Kluyveromyces lactis: one gene and its partner. The protein of the gene in region 1 purifies or fractionates together with the protein of each later gene. This does not show direct contact. Links are inferred from orthologs where the notes say so. Each region holds a gene or a part of one and is shown in the gene's direction. Other genes may lie near its edges.

Region 1 (4,613 bases):
GATCGATGGTATGATAACGAATTACAATCATGACATGGTTATTAATATAGGCCTCATCAGTTTCTGGATCGTATTGACCCAGTGGGAACCCCGATGAATAGTATTTTTTCTTATCTTTGGTGTTAAGATACGTGGTAGCACCTGGTAAATCATCATCGGCCAACCATTGGACGACGTAATTCTGTTTAATTAATTCATAGGCTTGTTTCTTCCCCTCACCGTTAGTTTTCCTATCACATAATCGCACACAATCCTCGTCTTTACCGAACGTCAGCTGATAGTCCGATTGCCATTTCTTGTTCCCGTATAATATGTCACTGAAAGTCAAGGGTAAAGGTTTCATGTCCTGCGACGGTGGACAAGTGAAATGTAAGTCGTAATATCCATACGAGAAATGAGTTAAGTCAGATTCGACTTTGTTCACAGTGATATCGACCTTATCACCATACTCATAGAAGTTCGGACTCAATAGTCCGTACTCTTTGAAAACTCCAGTGTGCTGCTGGTACGACGAAGAAAATTTGAATGGGTTGGCATCTGGGGAAGGCCGACGATGATTTCTCAGCCTTGGAAGAACCCATATTAGACTTAAAAGTACCAGTAAACTGACTAGAACCGATCTTGATTTCAGTTTCATAACAAGAGTTTAGTGGTGGCTGCGTGTGTTAATGGTTTATGAACTAAAGCGAAAGACAGAAATAAATGAGGAACAGTATGAATAATTGTGTTAAGGAAATATAATAGTTTAATGTCACACACAAACACGGAGGGCGGATACCAGTGTTCTTCGATCAAAAGAAAAAAACCCCAGGAAAATTATTAACCAAAACCAAAACAAAACCAAAACCAGGACAGTAGTATAATACAGATATATATATATATATATATATATATATATCCTATCAAAAACCTCAGAGTGAAGTCTTGTTTACCATTTAAACTTTCTCCTCTACTCTTTTCCCTTTTTGCCTGAGATATGCTTTAAATATGAAAAGCTCATCTCGAAGAATAGAAAATCGACAAGGAAAAATTCTGAAAAATCGTTTTTTTTCTTCTGGAAAAGGAATCATTATCCTGAATAGTTAGTACACGGCAGCGATAAGATGGATATATATATCTACGTACATTACTCTCCACGTATGGGGTCTATATTAACGTAACTGTATTAATATCCACTCTACACATTCTGTAAGCTATTCGTAAACATTAATTATATAATATGTTAATCTGCCCTTGTGCTGTCTCTCGCCTTCTTTTATTTAGTCAGGCTGAGTGAGACAATATATCCTCTGTGACTATCTAAAAAAAAACAGTTTCCTCTGTGCTGGCCAGTGTCTTCTTGTTCCAGACCCTTTCTGCACATAAAGCTCTGTTTTTGTTTTCCGTTTGCCTTTCCTTAAAGCAGATCAAGAATCGATTCAAAAATTCGAGATATACAATACGTGGTGCATGGGTGCCAGAGGACAATACACATGTTAGCGTAATGACCGGGTAACAACTTCTACTGAGGCTCAAAAAAGCACATCACGTGACTGTAATTATTATTGTTATCATTATGTCAGGATAAATTTCAAATCTAGAAATCATATTGTTTTTGTATACATAGATGAGGGAGAGGTGCAATGTATGTAGTGCACTGCAAATTTATCAAGAGAGAACTTAAGAAGTGCTGTTGGTTTCTTTAAGTTAACCAACCCATGCTATTCCATTCTGTGCGGCAGAATGCTGGTGGAAATGTGCCTGCTCATGATAGTTTAGGTGGTCACAATCAAGAAATTATGGATGCATCAGTCTTCAACGGCCTGCCGTCTGCAACCTCCGCAGCAGATGCAGCAGCAACAGCAGCAGCTGCCTCTGCTTCAAATTATGTTGATTCATCGAATCTCTCACATCTTTCAGAGAAATTTAAAAGACTTGAAACTCTAATCTCGGATCATTTATCACAGTTGAACATAGAATCCGCCGTTTTCGTCTCAGAGTTGTTATTTGCGGAATGCTCGAATCTGGACGAATCATCTCAGGAAAGAGCGCTTGCGAATTACTTTTACTCTCTATCCCTGTACTTGAACAATGACTTTCATACTGCTATGCATGTTTCCTCTGAAAGAAGACATGATAATCTTGCATGTGCCTACGTATACTCTCGATGTTGTTTGAAATTGAAGAAGAATTATTCAGACGCTTTGGATTGTCTATTATCATTACAGTCCTGTTGGGACACCTGTCTATCCCATTTTGGGTATCCGAAGAAATCAACAATCTGTCTCTTAGTAGGGAAGTTATTCAAATTATTGGATCACGAATCTAAGAGTGAAACTTTCCTCAGATCTTCCTTGGATGGGAATCCTTATCTCTGGGAAGCGAGCACAGAACTTTGTGTTCTTCGTTCAAGTTTGGTTCTTACGGTATTCAAATCCCAGAAGAATGCGCCTACACGCTCGCAATCATCTGCAGCAATGATGACGGTACCACCTCCAAACTGTAGTATGGATTCCAGATCTAGGAATAAGCCTCAAACTCCATTTAAAGCTCCATCCAGAAACAGACAAAACCTTTCCAACTCCCAAACTACATCCTTATTATCGGCTTCTAACGTTGGTGTATCCATTTCTCCTCATTTCTTTAAAAAACACACAAGGTTTACTACAACACCAACTACTGCAACTTCAAGTGCAAATGTAACCACTACAAACACATCTTCTATCGATACTAAACATCTCGGAACTACAACACCATCGAAACTGTCAGGAACAGATTCCCAAACCAAGTTGTTAAGGTCTCCCATGGATAAAAAAATTATGACCAACAACTCATATCAGATGCCAAACATTAGCACTTTTGACTCAAATTTGGATGAACTTTTCTCCAACTTCATCCATATAGAATATTGCAAGTCAAGGTATGATTCATTCAAAGCCATCCGCATGATGCAAAATCGCATTCCACTACAGATAGCGGTGTCTATGCCTTGGTGTTTATCCACATTGGGTAAGCTACATTTTGAATTAGTTAATTATGAAATGGCTAAATCTTACTTCACGAAATTAAGAACTTTACAACCTACGCGGTTTCAAGATATGGACACCTTCTCAACCGTTTTATGGCATTTGCAAGACAAAACACACTTATCCGCTTTATGCGCGGAGCTATTAACGTTGGATAAGTATAACCCCATTGCCTGGTGCAGCATGGGGAATCTTCATTCGTTAAATAAAGATCACGACGAAGCCATTACTGCTTTCGGAAAGGCAATTCAATTGGACCCATTCTTTGCTTACGCTTACACTTTACAAGGGCACGAGTATTCTAATAATGATGCATTCGACAATGCAAAATCTTGCTTCCGTAAAGCTTTAACTATCGAAAAAACTCATTACAATGCACTTTACGGACTTGGAATGTGTTGTGTCAAACTTGGAAAGTTTGAAGAAGCACTATTATTCTTCGAGAAGGCAAGAGCCTTGAATCCGGTCAATGTCATTTTGAATTGTTGCTGCGGCGTTGCGTTAGAAAGATTACAGCAGCCAGAGAGAGCTTTGAACTTCTACGAATTAGCAACTGAGTTACAACCAAACTCGTCTTTAGCATTGTTCAAGAAATCACAACTTCTATTGAACATGGGACAGTATTCTTCTGCGCTACATAATTTTGAAAGATTAGAATCACTTACCCCTGATGAAGCTCATGTGCACTTTTTGCTTGGTAACCTGTACCAAATTGTGGGTAAGAAGCAAGATGCAATGAATCAATATACTATTGCAATGAACCTAGACCCTAAAGGTAGTCAATTAATAAAAGAAGCCATGGAAAAATGTCATGAACAGGGTTGATAAATCTGTTATATATCGTTACAAAAAATCTACTTGAACCTTCAACCAAATTCTTTCACACAACGTGTTTTTACAGTTATCTATATAGCCTTCAAAAATAGCGTCTCCCAGTGTATATGAGTGTTCTCAGATGATTTGAAGATTATAATATTAATGATAATAATACAGATAGACGAAGGACTAAAGATCTACATAAAAAATACTACACAGTCGACGAATTTCTTTGGAGAATGATCAGTGAAGATCAAATACGATTACTCATGAACTTAGGATCCAGGCCAAAATATTCTCCTCCTTGAGTTGATAGTGTTTTCGAACCAGTCGATGAATTTCCAGTATTAGCAGTCGTATTTGAGGTTAGCTGACCAGCCATTAAATAAGGACTGGTTAATCCAGACGTGATAGTCGTATTATGCGTAATACTTGGCGAGGAAATATTAGCAAAATCTTCAGAACTTTGAGTTTGCTCAGCTCTTTGTTGATCCCATAAGTCTTCGTCATGTTCATTCAGTGACCTTTGCTGCTCTCTCAGTCTAGTTTCTTCACGCGCTTGGGACAGCATTTCCTGAGCTTTTGTTAATGAAACGGTAGGCGTCGCACATGAACTGATAATAGGAACTGAAGTGTCAATGTCAATGGTAGCTTTGATAAGAGCTGCTATCCATGCTCTCATCTCCTCTTTGGTGTCTACTGCGAAGTAATGTACACGAGGCTGAGTAAACGTTAGACCTTTCTTGGAGCCAGGTTGAGGAGGAACCAATTTAAAGCAATAACGCCCTTTAC
Region 2 (2,522 bases), about 290 kb from region 1:
ATAAATATGCATATATTCAGGATAGCGGGTGGTATCTAGTATTATTTATACACTATTTATGCTTTAATGCGTCCGGCAAACCCATAGGTATTCCATCCTTTCCCCTGTTTCTTTAGTTCTCTCTTATTTATCGATGATACGGCTGTTGGTCAAGAATGAAATAGTGAAATTTCTTGCTATTTAAGAAATTGGTTCTTGTCACATACAACCTTAAAATGATGAAACAATATGAACAAGACACGTTAGATTTTGGACACACCGTCTGTCTACACTTTCATAGATTATCAGATCCCAGGCGTTGTTGAAACGAGATGTTGAGTAAGAGAAGTTTGAGGCTGGTAAGTCTCACCGGTATGGTGATTTTCGTTCTTTTCTTCATCAGGCACAATGCAGAGTCCGTGACGCGTTCTTACGTGGGGAAAGAATCTAGCAACCTCGCGAATGATGCCAAGGTCGAGAGTGACATCAACAATATCCAAGAAGGTATTGCTGAAACCAAGAGTAACGCGGTTGTTGCTGATACCAGCAACGCAGTTAAAAATATGGCTGGGCCCAACGGTGTGAAAGACTCTGATTTCGCTGCTGAAGTAGAAACATACAACGCTGAAGCTGAGTACAAGAATATCCTTTCTCAATCACCAATCGTGGTGTTTTCTAAGAGTTACTGTCCTTTCAGTACGAGGCTCAAGAACTTGTTGAAGGAGTATGAATTTGATCCAATTTATACTATCGTTGAATTGGATAAGCATGAGAATGGAGCTGAACTACAGAAATATATCGGTAGCAAGACAGGAAGGTCTACTGTTCCTAACGTTATTATCAATGGTATATCTCGTGGTGGTAGCGATGAATTTGCTGGATTACATGAGGATAATTCATTATTACAGAGCTTGAAGACATGGGCCGGATCTACTTTATCCGTGAAGAAAGCTGCTGCTGCGACTTAAAACTTGGCCTATAACATATATAAACATTCGTATACTATACTACAGTGGATCTGATCCCTTTATTAAATTTGTAATAGAACCTGTGACACTTTTATGCATATGGGTATAATATATTATAAGAAAGGATTAGATAGGAAGAATTGAAAACACAAAGACAGAACGAAGGGAACTGTGACGAGGATAAAGCCTGCGATAAGGATACTTCACCCGTGTTACTATGCGTATAGAGGTAACAGATGTCAGTCTAGTGAGCACTTGGGCGTGGGATATTCCCAAGGATTTATCGAAAGGGAAACATGGTGTTGCAGATCAAACGGTACATATGGAAAAATGGGAAGATATACAGAATGAAGATGAGGATGCAGAGAACGATGAAGAAGAATATGAAGTGTGTGGGATCTGTCGTAACCGGTACGATGCTACTTGCCCCTCCTGTGATTACCCTGGTAGCGGATGTCCAATTGTGTTAGGATTATGCAATCATAATTTCCATGTTCATTGTATCAAGCAATGGCTAAGTACTGAAACATCAAAAGGGTTGTGTCCCTTGTGTAGACAAGGATTCCAGTTGAGGCCTAACGTTCTGATAAATAAGATGCACCATGATGAGTTCCAGAAACTGTTGATGAGTGTGAGACAGCACAACATTCCGATGGGTGGTGGTGAAATAGATCAAGATGTGATGGATGATGGCTTCATACGATGAAGGGAAGACTCGATATGCTGAAGATATGTGTGTGTACATCTATTTAATTGGTAATAGGATAGAGTAGTGGTTCAAATCATCAGTGATGGGCTAAGTATACTAGGTAGCGAGGCCATATTACAGGTGGTGTCTCTTGCTCACATGAGACAAAAAAGAAAATGCTTCCAACCAGAGTCGAACTGATGATCTCCACATTACTAGTGTGGCGCCTTACCAACTTGGCCATAGAAGCTGTTAATTTCTTGTTTGATGGGGTAAGAAAAACAACTACACCTGATACTTTTACAATCAGATGATCAAGCTCATGTGAGAATACACAACCACTGGTTCAATAAAAAAGGGCGATAAGCTAACCAGTATACTATTGTAAAATGGTATCGTGTTGCAGTCAATGTTTGTTCGTCAGTACACACGTCGATTGTACGTTGACCTACCGTTTCAGCAAGCCACGACCATGCGGTACCTATCGTGTGGCTTTTCCCCAAAAGCACTCTTATCACGTGATTTTCCCCTAATGTGAAACTCTGTTACTACAAAGAGAGAAGCATGATTAAACCCAATGACTTTAAAAAAAATACACTATGCAACTGCAACTGTATACAATCGGACCAAATATATACAGACCCTAATGTATACCCTAGCACACCTACACACGAACACAGAATCAGCCACTTCCTAAACTATCGCTTCTTCAAGCACCAATCTGCTTCTTTTCCATCCTGTCGTTCTCTCAAAGTGGACGACCTGAGGAAAAAAAAGTTGCAAAATTCATATATAAATAGGAATGAAAAATGCCTGCACTGGTTTACCATTGGCCACTGACGCCATATATATGATCTTAGGTTCTTCAATTGATATACAGCCTTATA

The links. The genes of interacting proteins can lie anywhere in the genome.
Region 2: the proteins of CDC27 (region 1) and APC11 purify together in Saccharomyces cerevisiae (affinity purification with mass spectrometry; 4 studies listed by BioGRID, with this or other methods). This does not show direct contact. The link is inferred for Kluyveromyces lactis from reciprocal best matches to the Saccharomyces cerevisiae genes CDC27 and APC11.

The regions. Positions count from the first base shown.
Region 1 is NC_006041.1:1,858,820-1,863,432, forward strand, and holds CDC27 (anaphase promoting complex subunit CDC27), read left to right. Parts: upstream 1-1,697; coding exon 1,698-3,830; downstream 3,831-4,613. Other genes in the region: TMN3 (Tmn3p), read right to left, coding at 1-637; KLLA0_E20879g (uncharacterized protein), read right to left, coding at 4,075-4,613. UniProt on the Saccharomyces cerevisiae protein: Component of the anaphase promoting complex/cyclosome (APC/C), a cell cycle-regulated E3 ubiquitin-protein ligase complex that controls progression through mitosis and the G1 phase of the cell cycle.
Region 2 is NC_006041.1:1,570,149-1,572,670, reverse strand, and holds APC11 (anaphase promoting complex subunit 11), read left to right. Parts: upstream 1-1,164; coding exon 1,165-1,653; downstream 1,654-2,522. Other genes in the region: KLLA0_E17733g (glutaredoxin), read left to right, coding at 312-947; inorganic diphosphatase IPP1, read left to right, coding at 2,438-2,522. UniProt on the Saccharomyces cerevisiae protein: Probably catalytic subunit of the anaphase promoting complex/cyclosome (APC/C), a cell cycle-regulated E3 ubiquitin-protein ligase complex that controls progression through mitosis and the G1 phase of the cell cycle.